Nothobranchius furzeri: one gene and its partners. The protein of the gene in region 1 interacts with the protein of each later gene in a pairwise test. Links are inferred from orthologs where the notes say so. Each region holds a gene or a part of one and is shown in the gene's direction. Other genes may lie near its edges. The genes, in order: dtx2, fam168a, alkbh4 and sec22a.

What was found.
Region 2: the proteins of dtx2 (region 1) and fam168a interact in binary tests that used the Homo sapiens proteins (3 or more experiments, as listed by UniProt). The two-hybrid records come from large-scale screens. The link is inferred for Nothobranchius furzeri from reciprocal best matches to the Homo sapiens genes DTX2 and FAM168A.
Region 3: the proteins of dtx2 (region 1) and alkbh4 interact in binary tests that used the Homo sapiens proteins (3 or more experiments, as listed by UniProt). The two-hybrid records come from large-scale screens. The link is inferred for Nothobranchius furzeri from reciprocal best matches to the Homo sapiens genes DTX2 and ALKBH4.
Region 4: the proteins of dtx2 (region 1) and sec22a interact in binary tests that used the Homo sapiens proteins (3 or more experiments, as listed by UniProt). The two-hybrid records come from large-scale screens. The link is inferred for Nothobranchius furzeri from reciprocal best matches to the Homo sapiens genes DTX2 and SEC22A.

What each region holds. Positions count from the first base shown.
Region 1 is NC_091750.1:69,058,787-69,064,862, forward strand, and holds the end of dtx2 (probable E3 ubiquitin-protein ligase DTX2), read left to right. Parts: intron 1-163; coding exon 164-334; intron 335-1,810; coding exon 1,811-1,972; intron 1,973-2,200; coding exon 2,201-2,290; intron 2,291-4,117; coding exon 4,118-4,354; 3' UTR 4,355-4,488; downstream 4,489-6,076. UniProt on the Homo sapiens protein: Regulator of Notch signaling, a signaling pathway involved in cell-cell communications that regulates a broad spectrum of cell-fate determinations.
Region 2 is NC_091753.1:35,592,586-35,598,376, forward strand, and holds part of fam168a (protein FAM168A), read left to right. Parts: intron 1-629; coding exon 630-775; intron 776-2,958; coding exon 2,959-3,145; intron 3,146-3,250; coding exon 3,251-3,363; 3' UTR 3,364-3,382; intron 3,383-3,488; 3' UTR 3,489-5,791.
Region 3 is NC_091750.1:30,551,373-30,556,813, forward strand, and holds alkbh4 (alpha-ketoglutarate-dependent dioxygenase alkB homolog 4), read left to right. Parts: upstream 1-2,235; 5' UTR 2,236-2,251; coding exon 2,252-2,416; intron 2,417-2,706; coding exon 2,707-2,895; intron 2,896-2,977; coding exon 2,978-3,499; 3' UTR 3,500-3,702; downstream 3,703-5,441. Other genes in the region: lrwd1 (leucine-rich repeat and WD repeat-containing protein 1), read right to left, coding at 1-28, 122-268, 455-574, 1,048-1,282, 1,442-1,545; E3 ubiquitin-protein ligase CBL, read left to right, coding at 5,220-5,363. UniProt on the Homo sapiens protein: Dioxygenase that mediates demethylation of actin monomethylated at 'Lys-84' (K84me1), thereby acting as a regulator of actomyosin-processes.
Region 4 is NC_091754.1:31,848,935-31,854,725, forward strand, and holds part of sec22a (vesicle-trafficking protein SEC22a), read left to right. Parts: intron 1-1,653; coding exon 1,654-1,817; intron 1,818-4,155; coding exon 4,156-4,335; intron 4,336-5,791. UniProt on the Homo sapiens protein: May be involved in vesicle transport between the ER and the Golgi complex.

The sequences.
Region 1 (6,076 bases):
GGACAGCAACACAAAAACACCATTTCTCTGAACAGAGGCTGTTTTAGAACTTTTACACATAAATGCATTTCAAGATGGCTGTAATATCCCTTTAAGACACGGCTCAAGGCATGATGGGAAATGTTGTGTGAAGCTTTAACACTCGGAGACTCGTCTCTTCCAGGACTGCATCATCTGCATGGACCAGCTGTCCAGCCCGTCCAGCTACGAGACGCCGCCGTCCTCAGAGGACGGGGTTCAGAGCGTCCTGCCGGACACCGTGGGAAAGTTCATCACATGTGGACACACTCTGCACATGCTCTGCATGCTGGCCATGTACAACAACGGGACCAAGGTACGGGGGACGTTTGGGCTTTCTTAAAGCCTAAATCAGGAAGAAGCCTGCAAACAGAATCGTTGTTCATACAGTTCTTGTTCAAGTGTCCAAATTAAGACAAAGGATTCGGTTCTGTTTTGATATAGAATGTTTAAAGAAGTCCTCGATTAGATTTTCTTTAGTTAAGGCCTTTAAAATGACAGAAATCCTTCGATCCAAAGGTTCTAAAAATAGCACGGGGTATTTCCAGGCATGCATGTTAGCTCCAGGAGCAAAACGATGTTAAAGTTCGACTCTTAACGCCGTTTGTGTTTGATCAAATGTGATTAAATATCAAGTCAAAGAAATAAAAATGCATAGAATATTAAACGTTATTTTTGTTTATAAGGCAAGAATGGGGATTTGGAAACATAATGGTGTATAAATGATGGTAATCGGTATGCTATTCTAACGTTTTAGTGTAAGTTTCAGGTGTTTTGGGGGGTTGGGGTTATGACAGGGTATCTGCGGGTCCTTAAAAAGTCTTAAATTTGCTTTTCCAAATTTAAGGCCTTGAAAATCCTTAAAAATTACAAATAATCCTTAAATCCAGTTTCCAAAGGTCTTAAATTACCAAAGACCCAATAAACAAGATTCTTTTATTTCCATAAAATTTTCGTGAATTTCTAGTTTGTGTTCAGCATTTTTAGTGTACGATGTTGGCGTATGCAGAACCGTACACGTTCAGCTGGTTGTGAAAGGGGGCCATTTTTAGATGAGCACATTAGCTGGTTAAGCTAGTGGGAGCTTGCGCCATGGGGAAGTGCAGTTTTTATGGTAACTGGGTGGCTAATCCCACGTTTGCGACGTGGTTAGCACCGGTTCCAGGCAATAGCTGGAAATTATAGCTTAAATGAAATTTTAAAAATAGCTTAAATTTGGTCAAAGTGGCCTTAAAAAAGGTCTTAAATTTGGCTCCCTTAAACCTGCAGATACCCTGTATGAGCTCATGCTCCTGCCTGTACCCAAAAGCCAGCATTAAAGACATTAAAGACACTGCAGCGTTAGCCTCACAGGCGCAGAAACTACGTCGCTCTTGTGTTTTTGGAAGGAGAAAAACTGAAAACCTCCCAGAGACGAGGATGGTGCAGTATGGCCTTCCTTCCACCATGACTGAGACGTTACGCCCGGAACACACCATGATGCGCCGCGAAGTGCTGTGGAACGCCGAGCGCTTCTTGTTAACTTACGCTCTGGGTCACATCAGCTGCAAAGCGCCACGGAGGCTCGCGCCGTGCAGCGATGGTTTTGGCGTGCGTTCTAATTTGTTCGCGAGTCGCATCCATTCTGGCAGAAAGTCGAACCAAAACAGACGAGGCTAGCTTCATCCTCTGCAGAGAAACTGTTGTTTTTCAGCATTTTCTGTTAGAGTTCTCATTAAAATGGTCACACTTCAAATCTACTAAAGTAGATCTGAGAGGGGTGCGTCTTACCCGTCGTCTCCCTTCTCTGCAGGACGGCAGCTTGCAGTGTCCCTCCTGTAAGACAATCTATGGAGAGAAGACGGGCACGCAGCCCAAAGGCAAGATGGAGATCTATAGTATCGCCCAGTCGCTGCCGGGTCACCCAGACTGTGGTACCATCCAGATCATCTACAGCGTCCCTCCTGGCGTTCAGGTACGGCCCAGCTACCCCGATGCCGTTGAAACAAATGAATCCAGATGTTTCCAGGCGTGAAGGTGACCTGAGTTTGTTTTGGTTTGATGTTGAAAGTGTGTGATGAACGGTGAAAGGTTACAACACCTTCAACCAAAAACAAAGTTCTCTTTAGATCAGATTCTTCCTTCTTTGATCTGAACGGATCCGGTGTGACCTTATCGGATTAAACTTTCTGACATCCATCAGGGTCCGGAGCATCCCAACCCTGGACAGCTGTACACCTGCAGAGGATTCCCGCGATTCTGCTTCCTTCCCGACAACGACAAGGGCAGGAAGGTAGTATCTCCAGTCTGACCTTTAACCCAGACTAACACTCTTCAGGACTCGCTGTTGTAGTAAAAAGATACGAGCCTTTCCGGGTTTTAGAGGTAGAGAACTTGGAACAAATACATGATGGTACGGAGAAAACTGCCTAAACTCCTTTAGGAGTGTTGCAAGCCAATGTGCCGGACTAACGCCACTCTTAATTCAGATGTTTATAATCTCAGGTTTGGCCTGCAATCAATTCAGTGGGCGTGACATTAATTGCCAGTAAAGACCCTTCACTATGTAAAGAGATGATTAGCAATCACCGATTTACCCAGGGCTTCTAATTCTGACCAGTATACGTGTAAGTGGACAAAAGGAAGACCAGTTCCACCAGTACACACACTATTCCTTCGGCTCATGAATGCCTCAGGTAAAGATAGCCGTCCCTTTATGCTGAGGAAACAGTTTAAATCAAATCAACTTTATTTTTAAAGCGCTTTCCCACGCACGAAACGGACAAACAAAGCGCTGTATACCAATAAGAAGCACAACAATAAAACACGTATGAAAGAAGAAATCCCGAGTACAAGTGAGCAATCCATATCAGTCCTGTTTCCAGAATCGGATCCAGACACATGCAGAGTGATGCTGCCCACGCAATCCCAACTTTACTGTAGCACAGGATGGTTGTAACAGCTAAACAGCATTAAAACCTTTTTTGGGATGGGATACGACAACCAGCACCTCACCTTTTCGTAGATTACCGACAGAGGAGACCCCCAGAGCGTGGACTCGTTTGAAGTTCCTCGCAGTGAGAAACAGATTTTATTCCACAAACCGATAGAGATGAAAATCCCGTCGCAGCGGGTCACACAGACACGATCACAAACTCTTCTGCAAGGAAGCCCAGCTCAACCTCCACTCATCAAGCCCCCTCCAAAAAGCTCAGTCCATGACTCACTCACTCATCCCATCAAACTCTCTTCACACTCTGTCCCTCCTCCCCTCTGCGTTCTTCAGGGGGTTGCATCTCCATGGCAACACCCCCATCCTGCTGCTGGAGCTTAGCATCTAGTCACGTGTTTCCTCTTCTCCTTGAGATTACATCATCTCCGGCAGGCTCTTCTGGCTGTCCAGTCTGCCACTCTTGTCTCTCCTTGGCCTCTGGTGACCTTAGCCCAGCGTTGCCCCTCCGACTACTCCTCTTCTTCCTCTCTCGGCCTTGGGGAGGAACAGTAAATCTTCTCCTTCATGCAAGTTAGTGGGCTTATCGACTTTAAGAGTACATGATCTGTTTTTATAGCTATTACCTGGTGCACCTGGACTTTCTCCAGGATAAGCCCCCTTGCCTCCACTTCTCTGGAAGTCAAAGGTTACCACAGAACCGTCCGTGAGACCGAAACAGCTCAGAATATTTACGACTTCAGTGTGAGAAGCACACGTCTTTATCAGTGACACACACACACACACACACACACCACACACACACCACACACACACACACACACACACACACACACACACACACACACACACACACACACACACACACACACACACACACACACACACACACACACACACACACACACACACACACACATTTAGACAAAGGAAAAGCAGCAAGCATGAATTGGTTTCACAATAACAGAGAATTAATCCAGACCTGATCTTGTATAACTAACAAGTCTGGGATCAGTCTCAGTCCATCAGGGAGGAAGCATTAATATCACATTTATAAGTCTGAGAATTGTACTTACAACCTTTCCAGACATAATAAACTCGATGGTGGGAATAGACGTGCATTCCAAACGTTGTGACTGGATAAAAAAAAACCTCGTTTCTGACTTCCAGGTGTTGGAGCTGCTGAAGGTGGCATGGATGCGTCGCCTCATCTTCACCGTGGGGACGTCCAGCACCACCGGAGAGCCCGATACGGTGGTGTGGAACGGCATCCACCACAAAACGGAGATGATGTCCAACCTGTCGGGCCACGGCTACCCCGACCCCAACTACCTGGACAACGTTCTGTCCGAGCTGGCCTCGCAGGGCGTGACAGAGGACTGCCTCAAGCCTCCGGGCAGCAGCTAGGACGCAGCGTCACATTTTCTGTCACCGCAAACCTCAACCGAGCCGACGGCGGTCGCCATCACAGGCCGCCGTGTTTCTGCACCTCGCATCGCAGGAGCCTGAACTTCAAAATAAAACACATTGGGCCGACTTTAGTCTGCGCCCAGTTCATCGAACCGCCGCTCTGGAAACTCGTGATTCGTTTGTCGAAGCCTCATCAGTATCCTGGTTTTGAGTCGCCGTGGGAAACGGCGCTTATTCTGGGAGCAGAAGTCTCATGAAGCACTTTAGCTCTGACAGTGAATTTGCTGGCAAAATGCAGTTTTTGTTTGGTTTGTTATTCCACAGTGAGAAGGCAGTCGGCTCCGTCGCAGCCGAGCATTTCAGCAACGCGGCGAAACTCCAAGTAGCAAAGTCCGTTTGTACGATTATCAGTGAGAAGAGGCAACACTTAGTGCTGTAAATAAACACGAGTGCATCAAAAGTATAAAAACATCTTAAGTTTTGATTTTTACATCCATGGTTGTTTTAAAGTCTAACAAGCCTTCTGCAGCCATTTTCTTAGTGTTGAATCTGAGAGGACGGATCGAACAGCCTCAGATTTTGACCCAGGTGGACGGGAGCGTGGAAGGTTCGACAGTGTGACAATCAGAGTCGTCGTGATTAAACGAGACGCGTGAATTCGCCCGCGTCTGCTCGGCCGAGTCTCCACACATGTACATGCAACTGAAAATGTATCTGCAATAAAGAAATGATGCAAAACCAGACCGGCGCCTGATTTGAGCTGATGAAGATGCTGCAAACTTTAGTGTTTTTAGCTTCTTTTGCTAAACTAACCTGATCATTTTGAGCCTGATGAGGATTTAAAGGTGTTATCTGCTGCCCAACAGCCAGTTGGAGTTCTCATCCGCCCGCTTAACAGAATTATGTTTCAAACCAGGTTGTTAAATCTAAAACATTTTGTTTTTAAGCCATGAGAAATGAACAAGGCTTCACCCAGACTCTAACGAAGCGTTGGTTACAGGGGCGCCTCCAGAAAATTGATAGGGGTGGCCAGATGGGGCCAATGAAATGTTTGGGGTGGCACACCAAATTGGTCCATGTGGTAACTCTGGTTGAATTTAGTGTGTGGAGATGTGCTGCATTGCACTTTTGTTTTTATTAAAATAACGGTAGGTATCCAAAACATTTAACTTAATTTTATAAACAAACATTTTAGAAAAACGGTTCAGTTTTTTAAACTGTTACCCCTAATTTAATTAAAGCAGTTATTTTTTTAGGTTCATTCACCTGTTGCTGTGTTAAAAATAAAACTAAGGAGATAAAAACTTTAAATGGTGAGCAGCAGAAACATGTATTTTTTTATTGTGATTATTTCTTTACTTATTAATTGTAATATTTTATTTTGTTTTACAAATATGTCTTGAATAAATAAGATCAATATATGGTTTGACTGAACATTAATATGATTTGTAAACACTGGCTTTTCCGGGGGGGGGTACCAGCAATTTTCTAGGGGTGGCCATGGCCACCCCTTGGGGGCGCCCTTGGTTTGTTTGGGAGGAAGACAAGGGTCAGAGGTTGATACTGAAGAGATTCGTGTTTCATTCTTGAAACATAATGAAGTGATTTTTACTCTCCTACACTCAGCGGGATTTAGCAGAAGGATGAAACGACCCTTGTTTTAGTTTCTGGGTCATTTTTCCCCTCAAAGCTCCGACAGGAACTAATTAAAACTGGAGA
Region 2 (5,791 bases), on another chromosome or scaffold:
AAATCGTCTGTTTGAATCTTGCTGAATGAGACTTAAAGAGGGGAAAAACAGGCTTAGATTTTTTTTGTTATTATTATTGAAATCCCCTTCTAAAGACGGCACCAGTCCCCATCTGGTGGGCTTTACAGGAAATGCAGACTAGTGTAGAAAAAATGTTTACTGCTGCTGAAGCACCACACTCACTCCTCTAATTATTTCACTTCATTAAGTTCTGAGTTATTTTTATAAAACAGTTAACACTTGCTGGGATTTATCGTCAGAAGTCCCTTAAGTGTTGTGATGATGGATTATGGTATAGGAGTAGTAGCTAACGTTGAGAATCTGGAGGTTACGTTACTGCTGATTGCTGGGAAGGATGAACTCGTAGTGGCAGCTGACAGACAGTGATGACCTGACGCTGCAGGTTCAGCATCTTATCTGATTTCTGTCACCTTTATTGCTTAAAGACGCAGCATGCAGCATATTACTGTTTTTATCCAGGAAAACGCGTGAAATGGAATGATTAAGACACCTTTTCTGATATAGTTCTCATTAATAACAATAGTCATGTTTCTTTCTACTATTGTTTTCTCATGTTTTCTGCTCAAAAACAAGAGTTTTATTAAAACTGCCTTTTCTTTTCTTTTTAGGATACACTCCTGCAGGAACCCCATACAAAGTGCCCCCCACCCAGTCAAATGGAGCACCTCCTCCCTACACCCCCACCCCCACCCCGTACCCTACAGCCATGTACCCCATCCGCAGTGCCTACCCTCAGCAGAACATCTACGCACAGGTAGGCGCGTTAGCAGTAAACCAGCGTTCCCTTGTTGGTGTGGGCATTTCTTCGTTCATTAAAATTCAGTGACTCCACATGGCCCACGCAAAGCAGGGTATCCGCGGGGTCTTAGAAAGTCTTAAAAGTCTTGAATTTGGTGAAAGGAAAATTAAGACCCTTAAAAGTCATAAATCGATTTAGTAAAGTCTTAAATTTGGTTCGTATTGACGTGATTTTAAAATATGTTCATCTCATACTTGCAAACTTGACGCTTTTGAGCGAAAATTGCTGTTTATGAAACCAAATGTGTTCACGTGAATCAAAGAGTTTTTGTTTTAGGGAAGGTGAGTCTTTGGTCGGATTTCAGTCGCTCTTTGGAGGAATCAGTTTCAGAAATATGAGGAGAGTTCATCCTCTTCACAAACCATCTTTTTTAGTGCGTCACGAGTTGCCATTTGACCGATCACAGTCACGGAGACAGCTAGGGAAAAACACGCTTCAGTAGCCAGTATCACGGTGCCACCACTACTGTCGCTTCAACATCTCGCTGCGGCTGGAGCTTAAAGTTCGTAAAATCATCAAAATCCCCTCCAGACACGTCAGTTTTTTTTTGGGGGGGGGGGTGAGTTCAAGTGTTGGTCAAAAACAGCTTTCCCAGTAATTAGACAGGTCCAACCTAACCTAAGGAAGACTGTGACAGACAAGGTGCTGTGGTTGTTGTTTCAGGTGCATACAGGCTAAAACCCTTTAGACACGTCTTCCCTACATGTTATATAAGAGATTTGAAATCAAGAAGAAAAACTTGCAAAACAGTATGGATCTGTTCTCGATGAGATGTTATTAGTGGAAAATAAACATAAATAGATCTAAAGATGTTCCTGGTACTTTTACCATCATTCTGTTGTGGAAAGCCAGCACAAATATTCAGTGAAAACGTTTAAAAGCTGCTTAAACCTTCATTATTTTATAGTGGGCCTGTCTATATTTATGAAATCAGTTGATTGTTTAAAGTAACTGTAGCTAAAGTTACTCCGAGCCACAGTAGAAGGTCCAGCCTGAGTTGAGCTGTGGTAACTGCAGAGGAACTGAGAAACAGCATTAAACCTTTTGCTGTTTGTTTGTTCAAGTTTAATTCAAATAGAACATGTAAGACATCAATTATATAATAATTGTATGTAAATGTACCAGTCATGTTAGAGGTAAAAGACAGAATAGATTAAAAAAATAACATTTGAACTATATCTGGTTACATTGAAGCGTCACGTCCCACAGTGAGCAGTCTCTGTCCCACATTTGGTGAGTTTGGATCTGGACATCCTACTTAAGAATGATTACAGTCATTTGGAATATTTTCAGATGTTTTAATGTTTGGTGTTTTGTGAATTATTTTCATAATAATAGTTAATTATTATATGATGATTCCTAATCATTATCTGATTAGTTATTTCAGTTTATTATATTTAGTTCTCTTGAACAGTAGGACCGGTAGAAATTGCTTGCATTTTGCAAAAACATCACTTAATTTATTTATTTTTTAAATATTGTCAATAAAATAAAAGTATATAAATGTCAGAGGTCACTACAAAACCCACTGTAGAATAGATGCACATCTGCAGCACGTGAGGACCTTGTTTAGGGGGAGTTAATTTAGGTGTCACTTTTTTTACCCAGTTCGTGGCTATGAAAAATAGATGCATGTAAACTAAAAATATATTTATTTTGTTCTTCAGTGCGCGCGGTTTGCATTTTTGTACCACCTGACTTTACGTATTACTTTACGTATTATTGCTACAGCCTCGCTGTCCCGGATGTGACGTAACCCAACATGAAGTGAAAACGAAGCGATGCAGTATTTAAAAACGATATATAAGTGTTTTAACAGTTGATTAGTTCTTTGTTATAGTCTTCATTTTATTTTTACAAGGTCTTAAAAAGTCTTGAAAAAGTCTTAAATTTAATTCTGAGATTCCTGCATATACCCTGCAAAGGTTAGAGCAGCAGAAGTCTTCTAGCTTTCACTGATCTTGTTAACTAAGAAACGGTGCTTCTATTTTATCTAGCCGTGGATCAGGTGGCATCTGATTAGCAGAAAGAGGTGTTTTAATAGTGTTGGAGTTGAAGGTTTTCTGCACATTTATAAAGATGAAAACGTCCCCGTCCAACACCTGAAGTATTAAAACTTTGTGTTGTTCTCCTGACAGGGAGCGTATTATACCCAACCAGTGTACGCAGCTCAGCCACATGTGATCCATCACACCACGGTGGTGCAGCCCAACAGCATCCCCTCCACGGCCCTCTACCCTGCCCCCGTCCCCGTTCCTACACCCCGCAACAACGGCATGCCTGCCATGGGGATGGTAGCCGGGACAACCATGGCCATGAGCGCAGGTAGGACTAATACTACCCAGAGATTACCTGTGTAGCAGCCATGTTTAAGATAGTAAGATGGTTATGATAAACCCTGTTCACATTCCTGGTGTTGTGTCTGTGTAGGGACCCTGCTGACAACGCCCCAGCACGCCCAAATCGGAGCACACCCAGTTACCGTGCCAACCTACAGGCCCCAAGGGACACCTGGTTACAGCTACGTACCGCCTCACTGGTAGAGCCCAATCCACCCATCATGTGAGCGTTTGTCCTGGGAGATGTCTCCTCCACTTGTCTCTTCTTCTGTTGTCCATCCTCACAGTTCTACCTTCTTCTGAATCCATTGTTCCCCTTTCCCCTCCAGATCTGGAGTCCACCATCGTATGCAACTGCTCAAACGTAACACGAGCTCCCAGCAGTAACCACGAGAACTCGGCACCTGTCTGCAAGAACAAAACTAAAGTGCAACAGCCACTTTACTATAATTGTGATTACGCGACATTCTCTAATATTTTTACAAAAGCTGCTTTTGTTTTAGTTTTTTCTCTTTTCATTTGCCAACCAGTCATTACTTTTATTTTGAAAGATGTTTGAATTCCTCGTAACTTTTTATTTTTTCCTTTGCCGTCTGTCATCGGAACTCCAGAAGAACTCTCGACCAACCGCGGGTGTCGGTCGCTCCTGCTTCTCTGTGTGTGGGTGTGTGTGTGTGTGTGGTCCCGCCTGCTGGGCTCAGCTGGTGGGAGAATATTGGGCACTTACTTCTTCGTCATCATCATCCTCTCCATCAGTCTCTACAATGACTATTGACTAATGCTGCCAAATGTTCTAACAACTAGATATCAGCACAGGTTTCCAACGATTTTATGCTCTTTTTTTTTGACACTTAACACTAAAATGCTTCAACTTCTCCTTTTTTACTTTTGCTTTTCTTTGCTCTCCATCTTTTTCCTGCCTGATTTGATCCATTCTTTTTTCATTTTGATTTCGGTCATCTTCCAGCATGTCTCCAACCGTCTTGGCGGCTCGCTAACCCTAACCCTCGTGTCTTACTGTTTTCCCATTGTACCAAGTACGCACTAAAGAAACCCCTTCAGACTACAGTCTATGCAGGCTGGTATGTCATGACAAATTTTAGCTAGAGAACATTTCAGACTTGTTTGGCTCATGTGTTATTGTGATTATGCTAAAATTAAAAAAATAACAAAAACATGCACACATACACACACGCCTGGGTTCTTGTGGCGGGACAAAACACACTTAGTGGCACTTACTGAACAGAACCTCCAGTTGGAACACGAACACGACCGTGGATTTTTAGGGGTGGGCGTGGCCTAGAGTGAGCAGAGAAGGCGTTTAAAGGGAGAGCTGAGGAGGGGGTGACAAAACCACGGGCGCTGCTTTTGTTTTGGACATTCATTATATGATTAATACTTTAAATCTACTGTCGTTCAATCTCCTTTTCTCTGGGCGAGGACTGATAATCAAACACAAAAGAGATTTAATTATAATGATAATAATAAGTCAAATTAGTAGATTTTAGTTTAATAGCGGAACAACAAAAGTATTGTAAGATGTGTCCAAAAATATAAAACTGTAATTAAACAAAAAAAAAAAGACATGGAGTTTAATGATTCTGCAATCCAACTTGGGCTCATCGGTGCTCTCTTGGTGGAGATTTTGGTGCGAGTTCGGAGATGGCTAGCAGGATCCCACGTTTAGGCACAGCCTGTGGCATTTTTCAGATCTTACACACAGTCAAAGAAAAACCAGATTAACGTTTAAGATCTGTAGGATGCAGATTGGTATTACGTTAAGCATTTACTGCACGGGTAATGTGGATGAGGTGGTTTGATTATTGCAATAAATAAAGAGGTAATGCCTCCAGCTCAGCGTACGGTCATTATTTTATCAGCATTCTGACTAGATTCTTTTAGCATTACCTAAATACTGATCCGGAGGCGTTTTACAGAGCCTTCCTTCCATAATTCATGCTAAGAAGTTAAGAACATATCAGAAGTTTGGGGGTTTGAATAGCATTGTGAGGAAATATTGCACAAAATAAGATAAAAAAAATAAACACTTGACTATACTATTATGATTTAATGCTAAGGAACAGGTACTTAGGCTTTGTAGTGCAAAAAACCGAGGACTTTGTATCATAATTAAAATAAAACAAGGTTGAGTGTTAAGGCGTTCTTAGTCCAGATGTTTGTACACTAGTAGGTTCAAGTTATTGCATTAAGCCGCTGTCGGAGGAAAACCACCGATATTTGACGTGGTAAAAAAACAATTACGTGTATTTTATATGAATGAAGTGGTGGATTAGGAATGAAAAGTTCCAGACCTGTTGGGATTCTTTTATATTTTAAACGAATGCTTTAAATTGACAGAAAAAAAATTATAATAGGATTTTCCTGCGACAGCTGTGACATTTCTCCACATTAGGATTATTTAACCAGCCACTCTGTCAGTATTTTTGATTTAATCGTTATATCTGTTCTTTTTATCTTATCTCCCTTTGGTCAGTTGAGCATTATGGGTATGCATAAATATTCAGGTGTCTTTCACTATAGCATTGGATTTCTAGGTTTAAAAGAATAAAAGGAAAACATGCAGTATATTTAAACAGCAAGTGGTACAGTAATGTATTTCTAGCTACGCATG
Region 3 (5,441 bases), about 39 Mb from region 1:
GCAGATGCTCTTTAGCAAGAATCTCCACCTGAAAAATCAAAAGGAAGTAAAAACAAAACTGTTAAAAAGGGATGAAAATTAGCAAAAAAGTCCCAGAGATCCTTGTAAATTCAGGACTTGCCCTCCATTTGGTGAAATCGCTGACTGAACTGGGACCAAATTTGACTTGATGACGAGCAGCGTTCACAAAGTTCTTCTCCAGATCGGACATTTTGCCGGCCGTGATGGGATCTGGGAGACTGAAGCTCCGCTCCCAAACTGTGACTATCTGAAATCAAGCAGCAGCTGAGTGACCCAAGTGTGGGATATGATGAGAAAGTGCAGCAGCTGGGTCGTTTCCTTTTAAAATGCAACATTAGAGGTGTGATGCAATCGAGAGCCACAGCTTAACTCAAAGTCTAATGAATAATCATCATGAATGTTTTCAAACGAAAGTATTAAACGGTTTTCATACCCTGGTCCTCAGGTTGTCACTGAACACGTATCGTAAGTGGCTGGCAGTGGTGCTGACATCTTTGTTGTTGTAAATCCTCAGTTTGGGCAGCAACACCATCAGCTTGTAACTATCACTTATCTAAAAATAACAGAGTCAGGACTTGATCTCAGTTGTAAAAGAGAATTTTAAAGTTTGAGACAAAAATAAAGGAATATCTAACAAAAAGGAAAAGCTGCAGCGCTGCAGAGAACAAAAAGACGTGCTAATAAAACATCTAGACTTGTTGAAGTAGTTATCTGATGACAGCGTTAGAGGAAAACTTCCTTTTGGTTTGTTTTTTTCACCTCATGTGGATATTGTCGCGGTAAAATAGTCATGGGTGGAAAAACTGCATCACATGTAACAACCAGACTCCAAAAGATGCCACGGTAACGTTTTACGATTCTGTAAAGTTCTGAGATGAATTCAAAGACAGAAATTATACTTAAACCACTCATTTAAATAAGACCAATCGAATAGTTTGAATTTTAAAAAGGCAGCTCCGTCCTTTATGTTATAACAGAGACGGAACGGTACTGGATTACATGCGACAAAAACAGCCAAGTCCTCACTGTGATGTAAAAGTTGTCATCCATTTTTAGTTCCTCCAAGCTGCTCAGAGACTCTAAGGTGGTGACATCCTCCATCTGGTTGTTGGTGAGGTCCAGGTACCGAAGTGCAGGTAGCTTCAGGTTCTTTGGAAGCTCCTGCAGCCTGTTCCCGGATAGATCCCACCGCTCCAGGGACTGCAGGCGGGATAGCAGCTTCACAGGAAGATCCCCGTGCTTCAGCGCCATCTTAGACAGACTAAATAGAAGAAACCCGTCAAGTCAACATGGGGATTTTAGATCAAGCTTCATATCTGCAAGTAAAACTAATTTTACTATTAAATGCGATTAGTCATCAACTGATAAAAGAGTGACTTCACCAGAACACACAAATAGTTAATCAAGGGGGAAGACTTACTTCAGAGTTTTGATTTGCTCCAGTTTGTTGGTTTTTGGAGAACCTTTCTCCAGTAAAAGCTTCTCTGTTACATTCTCCATAGCTGATCTGCTGGAAAAGGACATCTAATGTGGAATCTATCAGCAAAATAACATGTTAAACTTTTATTCGCACTCACTGATTAAGTTGTATGGCCTGATAAGTTTAAATAATGTCTGTACTTAAAACGAGCTAAATATTTAGCATTTTTTCATTTAGTAAAGAGACGATGCCATTGCCAAGTGACATCTTTACTGAGAAAAATTTAATATAACCAAATCAACTTCATGCTTCAGCAAGGTAAAACTGAATCTGTTAGTTTGATTTCGATTGGTTTTACTTTAGCAGTAGCTAGCATAACCACGTTGACACGATCGATTAATCAACTCTTTGCTAGGTTAGTAGTTAGTAATATAACTGACTCTTTTTCTAGCCATAACAAATGAGCAAACACCTTTAATAATGTTTAATAAAGTATTTTTTATGTTACTTACCAACTCCTCTCTGCAACTTTTGTGTCTGCAACACAACTGACCTTTCCCGGGGAAACTCCGTCTACATCCGGTGGGCGTGGTTTACCTAAAACTTTGGCCACAGTTTACCCTGAACATTGGCTGTAAGACAAGTCAAACAAATACGACTTTCGATTATTATATTTCTTGTTTATCACATATATTACTAAGTATTGTCATATTTTGTTTTATTTGAAATTTTAATGCGCCAATAACAGTGCGGCAGAACGAAAATAGGGGTTAAAAGAAGTAATTTTACGCCTGCGGCTCCGTCCGCTAGATGGCAGTGGAGCTACGATTTCCAAGTAGAAGAAGATGCAACATGATGATGATGGTCTCTGACGACGGCGACGGGGTTATTCCATGCGCTTGTAAAGGCATCCGACGCTGTCTTGTCTGTGAAACGTTTAAGGCGAGTGTACTGCTTGAAACAAGAGAGTCAAAGGTACGTGTGTCGAACAAAAATCTCAGTTTTAATGTGCGATGTAACGTCTGTAAACCTTGGTACGGAAGCCCTCACTGGACAAATTGTGTTGTTTATCAAAAATCACTCTTGTTTGTTCTGACAATATTCTGGTACAATGTTGTAAATTTGATTTAAATAATGAGATACAACCCTGGTTTATTTAAATGTTGACGGCATGTATCTTTACTTATTGTGAAATGAAATTTTATAATTAAAACATGTCATCACAGCTTTTGTTTATTAATGTTATCTCTGTTTTTGGTATGAAGATTGTGCATCATTTCCTCTATAATGCCAAGACGGGGCTCGCTGTCAGCGAAGATGAAGAGGGCTCTTCCTTCCCTTTTTCTGGAGTCTTCCTGTGGGAGAACTTTATATCAGAGGAGGAGGAGAGGGAGCTGATTAGCGTAATGGACCAGGATGTGTGGCATCCCTCACAGTCTGGCCGAAGGAAACAGGTGGAAAACATTTAATGAAAATGTACTTTTTTGTGGGTTACATATTTTTAACATTCAAATTTTTCATTTTACACGGTTGCAGGACTTTGGCCCTAAAGTAAACTTCAAGAAGAGAAAAGTGCGCATCGCAGACTTTACTGGACTTCCTGCTTTAAGCCAAAAACTGGTGCTGCGGATGCAGCAAGATGCAAATCTTGCGGGCTTTCAACCAGTGGAGCAGTGCAATCTGGATTACGCTCCGGAGAGAGGCTCAGCCATTGATCCGCACCTGGATGACTCCTGGTTGTGGGGGGAGCGGCTGGTCACCATCAACATGTTATCAGAAACTGTGCTCACCATGTCTCTTGAGCAGGGTCTGCCAGAGTTGGGACTTTCAGAGGAAGTCCAGGTTGCTGTACGACTTCCTCGCAGGTGTTTAGTTGTGTTATACGGCGAGGCGAGGCATAGGTGGAAACATGCAATTCATAGGAAGGATATTCATGAACGCAGGGTCTGCAGCACATACAGAGAGCTGTCTGCAGAGTTCCTCCTTGGAGGGAAGCAGGCGAAGCTGGGAGCTGAACTGTTGACTACTGCTTTAAGCTTCGGAGGAACTCCAATATAAACAGAGGCAGAAAAAGCTGGACAAAGTAGACGTGAAGTGTCTCAGTCTGAAACTGTGCCACATCAAAGGACTAATTATAACTGGAGTTTTCAACTTATGTTTTAACGGTAAAGCATTATTGTCACCGAACAGCAACTCCACCATTCTGTTAGGACAGCAGGACGATGAGTTTATAATAAAGCACCAGCACTGTGTGATCTCCAGTATCAGTGTGGCTGTGAGTTATTTGAGGCCTGCTGCGTGCGGGTTTCTAGAATAAACACCAAGGCGTGACAACTACATCACCAAGCGAAGTTCTACACAATGTAACGTTATGAACAAATATGGAATGTTTTCTCCCAAATAAATATCTTTTTAAGTCTGTGCTTTAATGACGGCTTTATGTAGATCAAGTACATTTGAATTGGTTTAGTGAACTAGACCAAAATCTTGCTTTGCAAAGTTAAATAATATATTGATTTAGTCTGTCTTACCAGGGTGCATTTGAAAATGACTGAGATGAATTCATAAAATTTTTCTTTCTTTTCTGTTTCTTGCGTATACATTTTATTCCATCCAGTAGGTAGCGCTAAACTCCTAGAGTAAAATAACAGGTATAAATTTATTCTAATAGAATGTTAGTCTTCGAAAAAAATCTTTTTTAATTATTAAATGTGAAGGTTTTTACATACATTTTCTGTTGATAGAGTGCATTATTTTTTGTTTTTATTGAATGAAATAAATATTTCAAATAAATTTGCTGATTTATAATGAAATACGTCTTCCTGAAAAACAAAATTATAATAACAAAAATTAAATAAAAAAAGGTATTTATTTTCCCTCCCTTATAGTGTCAAATAAAGTACTGACCAAAAAGTGAGATTTCTCACATCACTACGTTTAAAAAGGCCCTATGTTGAGCGAGGCGCAGCAGTTATTGCTTAATTTATTTAGACTTTTTGTTTATTAATGGCACAACATTTAATGTTAACACTGTCAAGCGTAATCTGAGTCTAGCTAATCGTGCACTTGACTATAATAAATTAAAAAGAAGAATCTCCTTCATTTAAGGGAAATGGCATCTTGGATTTTTTTTCTTTTTATAATAATAGACTAGAAGTTATGAAACTATATGTAGCCTTTTCAGTCCGGCTTAAGTCATTTTTTATTTGTCTTTTATTTTAAATATACAAGTGCAAAACTGTGATAAGTAAAAAAGTTCAAACTCGAATGGAGCAGTTATTAAGATGTTGCTGATGTTTAACAGACAAGTATATGTAGACCGATGCTTTTATTTTGAAAGTCTGACCGGACATCCGTGTTTACTTTAGCTGCTCAGCCTGTTTGTTGATCGCTCTCCTTTTGCTCATTAACGCCCAACTGTAAGCCGGCTTGATATCTCAGGGAGATTTTACTCACCGTCGCCAGGAGTCAAGCCGCTTTTCTGACAGCAGCTACGACAAACAGCGAGTATGTCTCGGACTTGAATTTGACGACGGAAATCAAGCGGAGAGTCTTTTCTAATGTAGCTTGTTAGCTTGGCTGCGTTGCGTACAGTCCCCGCACACACAGCCTTTTTGTTCTGCTCTTAGACAGCCTCTGCATGACGAATCACCGGCCGTGTTCAGTACAGACAGGGCGGGTAAAACAGCGAGGGCTTTATTGAAAAACGTGTCAAGAAGAACACCCCTGGTTTGTCAACGCGAACCCCGGGGCTAAACCCCGGCCATCGAGCGAATTAATGGCCGGAAATCCGAGGAGGGGCGCCGGTCTCATCGGTTTGATGAAGGACGCCTTTCAACCCCACCAGCAGCCTCTCCAGGCTCATCAACCCGCAGTGGTCGATAAGAAAATGGTGGAGAAATGCTGGAAACTCATGGATAAGGTACTGTCAGTGGCTTTGGGTTAGCAGATGCTTGAATATAATCCGAAAGTTTAAAATGTTCCTGACTTTAAACTCCTA
Region 4 (5,791 bases), on another chromosome or scaffold:
ACACCAAAACAGAGTTTGCGGCGCCATTCCCTTGTTCGTCATGCTGGCTCAGAGTAACGAACGCACTTTGTGCTGAGGTTTCTGGATTCAGCGCTGCTTTCAAACGTGAACGTGACTCCGCTCGGTGTCGTTAATCATTTTTACCAGGCTGACTCCGACACGTGCCGGTGAACCAACCCACCTTCATGTCGCTAGTGTTCCACCGGGTGGTGACGTTAGCCCCAGGCTCCGGTTAGCTTCCAGCTAAAAGGCTACAGCACTCTCCTCCCAGTCCCACCCTGCTAAAGAGGGCCTGGAAAAGTTCCCCCACACATCAAAGTGATTTTTCATTTATGAGCTTTTATAACCTTGTTAATCAGGATAGTTGATTTGCTGCTGCACATAAACTGTCAGTCAGAAGCTCTGCTAGCCGGTGTTCTTAGAGGAGCTAGTTCAATTTGTTAGCGTGTTATCAGAATCATAGTTGCAGTTTCATCATCTGAGCTGCTTTTTAAGATCTAGGTAAACTTGTTCAATTTGGGGTTAAAAACAAACGTTTTCACATATTTTCCATGTAGTTTTTTTTTGCCAGTTCCTCTTCTGAAAGGTAGACAATTGTTTTTCTCTTTCCCTCAGAAAATCTTAATATTCTCCTAGTTTGGCCCAGCACAGATCACTTCCCAATTGCAGCAACAGCCTTATATCATAACCACATAAGTGGAGAAAATGTTCAGTAGCAATGAGAGAATTTGCTGTTGCATGTAAATGATGTTAACTATTATTTAACATTTAAACTTATTTTCAGATTTTTTTTTTTTATTTATTCAAAAAACCCTGGTAATGGATGTTTTTCTGTATGTGGAGCATCAGAAAAAGTTTTATGGTGGAGGTGATGTTTTAAAGTCACTGAGAAACTGCTTGCATGCAGTTTGTTGTTTTGCTGCTAATACAGTAGCAGGTGCAGCTGCATAATGTTGCAATAAAAATGTTATGTTGTAATGGAATTCATGCATTAGTTTTTGTTTGCTTTGAAACCAGAGCAGACGTCAGACGCCAGACGACATCAACACTGCATACTTCAGTATTTGTTCATTTATCGTGAGTAATATCGATATCGCAATATTAAGCACTGTTATCGAATATAGCAGGTTTTCCTAATATCGTGCAGCCCTAATTGAAAAATACCATATTTTTACTATCTGTTAGAAAGCTGTTCATCCATGTCATGGCAGTCGTTTCTGCATGAGGGACATACAAAGCTTGTGCTTGGACATGACCTGAGGACAATAGCAGGAGGCAGCAGTGTGTCCTGGAAGCATGCAGTCTACCAAACCAAACTCTTCTGGCATCATTGTTGTCCGTTGTTTAATATTGATGACTGTTTCTACTTTTAATTGTGCTGAAATAAGGAACGTCTTTAATCCCTGAGATGTAATTTGAGCTCATTGTATCGGTTTTCACCACAAGGCTCTTGGATAATGTGTTAGAACAGGTGCATTTGTATGTAAATGTGGTGATTGAGTCTTAATTATCAGTACAAGTGTGATATTTCTCCAAAGCAGTGATGTGTTTAATTAGTGGTTGTTCAGAGCTGCTGGAATGTCAGCGTTTGTTCCCAGGAATTCTGAGAGATGCATTCAAAGCAGCCATGTTTGTGCTTGTGTGTTGATTTAGTTTCACGTACTCTCTGGGTGTGGGGTACCTGATGGTGTGCACTGCTAGTTACCCCAACGTGCTGGCCTTCTGCTTCCTGGACGAGCTGCAGAAGGAGTTTATTGTCACTTATGACCCCAAACGGATCAGCAGCGCCGTGCGGCCGTACTCCTTCATTGAATTTGGTAAGTTCTACCGTTTCTGGTTGTATTTGTATCTTGGTTTTGGTGTCACAGTTCGGTTAGGGTATTTTATTTGTTGGCTGATGTTAGCAGGAACACTGAGGCTGTACTCGAGGAATCGTTTAAGTCGTTTTATGGAGATGAGCAACCGTTTGTCAGTAAATGCCCGCTTCGCTCCAAAGTCCAAAATGATCCAAGTGTAACAGCTAGAGAAGGATTTCTGTTGCATCAGTCACAAACACAAGGAGAATATTTTTACTTGTTTACTATCAAATCCTGTGTATCTGTTCACAAACTTGGTAGTTTTCAGTAAAATTGCTCACCAGCGTCTATTCTAAGTATTCCTCTTGGCTGTAAATATTAAATTGTTTACACATAAACTGGTTGATGCTTCATAGTCATGCACCATGTTGAAATACGGTAGCTGTTTAGGGACATACAAAGCTTGTGCTTGGACATGACCTGAGGGCAACAGCAGGAGACAGCAGTGTGTCCTGGAAGCATGCAGTCTACCAAACCAACAAAGGACAAAGAGATGCACTGTTGCTGTACTTACTTAGTGAATAACATGTAATAGTGCTTTTGAAGCGCCTTGGTGCCATGTTTCATGTCTGTACGGCGCTATAGAGCCATTGCATCTTGGCGTCACTCGCCCACACCCCCGCCCCCAAGCCCCAGGCTGGAGGGCGAAGCTGGCTCCCCCTGTTGGCCACAGTTGTGTTTATCTGTTAGTTGTCAATAAGAGAGCTAAATAGTGGCAAAATAACATTTTATTAGCATGGTTAATACACATGGTTAAATGAAAGAAGTATGGTAAAGTCACATTTTACAGGCTAATTCTAGTGGATAAACCAGCCGCGTCAGAGCCGACAAAGTCTCGTGACAGAAGAGAAAAGTGAAATATCTGCCCCACGTGTCCAGAAACAAACAGCAGCCATGTAATGACTTATGCAGGGTTTCCCCCAGCTCTTTGTAAGCTGGAGGCCCACCAGGCTTTGCTTGGCCACCCGCCAGGCTAAGCGTCATGCCCCACCCCCCTCCCCGACCCTACTGTGTCCGCTGACACGAACACGCAACAAAACTGGTGAGAAACAGCATGTTTGTTGTCGACGTGTGCAACCCCCCCACCCCCACCCCCGCTCTCACGGAGGAGCGCTGCGGGACGGAGTGCGCGACCCCTCTGACGGCCGAATCGGCCAGGCTTAACTCATTTTCTGACTCATGTGAATTTATTATATTATTATGTAATTATGCGTGACCACGGGGCGAGGAGCCGGGGAGAGCCAACCGACTGAGCTGGGGGAAAGCGGTAGGCTGATCAGTCCAGGGAAGTAAACGTGTGTGAAAATGGCAACACCAGTGTGGTGTGTAGTTGTGTGTGTGACCAGCAGTAACAGTCTTGTTACAATAAGTACACAAAACGTGTGTAACTGGAGCGGACAGCCGCTAATGTTGTTCAGTTGTGTTTCTGTTTACGTTGCTCGTCAGAATAAACAGAGCATCCAATAAGCTCCACAGACTAGTGGTGTCACGGCGATTCAGCATAACCTGCAAAGCGTAGAAGAGATCCAGCTGCTCCTCGGTTCAGCGGTGAGAAGTTCAGACGGCCGGTTCTGAGGACCGTCGTCCCCACAGCTCGCTAGCTCTTTCAAGTGCATCTGAAAGCTTTTTGCTGAACACTCTTAGCTTTGAGATGTTTCTTTTTTTGTTCATCTGCAAAGATGTGTTAGATGATCTAAAGTAGTGATATTTAAATCTCTAGGTTTTATTTTGTTAGCTTGAATCGCAGAGATCCCGCTCTGGATACTGGCTGGAGACGGGTTCTTGCCCTCCAGCTAGTGTGGATGTGCGCTGTTACCCAGATGTAAGCAGTAACTTTCAGTGGGTCTATACAAATTAAGACTGAGTTGAGAACATATTGACTTTTTGATGTTTGTGGGCTACCATAGATGCAATACTTACTCACAACTGCGTGGCGCTGAAGAGTCTAATTTTTTCCCACACTGGGCCTTTAAAGGAGTTGGACCCAGACTACGTTCAGGACACCGGTGCAGCTAAAGCCAAAAGATCAAAGGTGGTGGATAAGTTAGTAAAAGGCAGGTACTGGAGACGCTGTGCAGAAGAAAACATTATCTGCTGTCCTGTGCCTTTAAGTGGTGAGAATGAATAACCTCATTATTTTAATCAGCTGATCATCATTGGAGATGAAGCGATGCCTGAGAGGCGTTTCCACCATTAAGCACGGCAGTGTTCTTATCTCTAATATAATCTGTTTATCTCCCTTGTTTTGTTTCCTGCAGCATTAAAACCAGCTTGTTTTTGTGCTGACTGTCTCCTCCAGACACCTTTATCCAGAAAACCAAGCAGCGCTACAACAACCCGCGCTCCCTGTCCACCAAGATCAACCTGGCTGACATGCAGACAGAGATCAAGCTGCGACCGCCCTATCAGCTCTCCCCAGAGGATCTGCAGGCAGTCAATGGCTTCTCAGCTCGCACAGCAGCTAAATACAAGGGCATCGGTAGGACTGGAGCTACTCCTGCTCACCCCATGGTTGTTTCTGACACCCCTAAAAGTTTCCACCTGTGCTTATTTAGCCTGTTCTGAGGCCAAGTGAGCATTTGGTGTGTGACTATATAAATATATTGGGTTAGATGAGTTGCTTTCCAGCTGAGAATCTGCTAAACTTAATCCCAAACGGAGAGCCTCCGGATTTAATCCAATTGTGAAATCTGTGGGACATCTTTAACTCATTCACTGCCAGTGACAATTAAAGTCGTCATTTGCATTTTTTTTATTGTGTGGGCGTCAGAACGAGCCCCCGCACCGTGAGAACAAACAGCTCTGAAGCCGATCTTCATCCACGTACGTCACACGTCACGTAATCAGGAAGCAGAACATCCATGTGTTAGGAGATCGTTTTGGGCCACTGCTGTAAAAAAAGTGAGGCGCGAACCAGAAAAGCTTCTGCTGATCGCAATTCAACAACCGATTATGAAAAAACGGATAACGCTCAAACTCTTCCTGATGTAAGAGGTGAGTCTCCACTTTGTTTTGGTTGTTTTGGCGTTGACATCTTTCTAACACGCAACGTTCTGTAACTCTTAAAAACAGTAAAAACGGTGAGAAATGCTGGCAGCGAATGAGTTAATAATCAGCATTTGTGGAGGTTGCTGTTTGTCGAATGTGTGCACAGCTCTTTGAGCAGGTTCTAGACATCCCTGCTCTTCATGTTACAACACTTGATGGTGCCATCCGAAGTTAATTTTAGTCCTTTGTTGCTAGAAGGAATGCACATCTCATTTTTAAACTGAGATCATCTTATGTTTAGAAATGATGGAGTTATCAGGGTGTCCGCGAGTCCTTAAAAAGTCTTACATTAGCTTTTCCAAATTTAAGGCCCTAAAAATCCTTAAAAATGACAAATAATCCTTAAATACAGTTTCCAAAGGTCTTAAATTACCAAAGACCCAATAAACAAATTTCTCTTATTTCTATAAAATTTTCGTGAATTTCTAGTTAGTGTTCAGCATTTTTTGTGTACGATGTTGGCGTAAGCAGAACCATATACATCCAGTTGGTTGTGAAAGGGGGCTATTTTAGATGAGCACATTAGCTGGTTAAGCTAGTGGGAGTTTGCGCCATGGGGAAGTGCAAGTTTAATGGTAACTGGATGGTTAATCCCACGTTCGCGACGTGGTTAGCACCGTTTCCAGGCAATAGCTGGAAATTATAGCTTAAATTTAATTTTAAAAATTGCTTAAATTTGGTCCAAGTGGCCTTAAAAAATGTCTTAAAAAGTCTTAAATTTGGCTCCCTTAAACCTGCAGATACCCTGAGTTATGTTGTGGCAGCTCTCTTGGACTGTGTTGACTCATTTTCCCAAACAAACATTCTGCTTGGAAGACCAGAAGTCTTAATTATCTCTAGATTTAAACATGATGGTCACAGTGTTTGAATTATTTAACGTGTTCTGC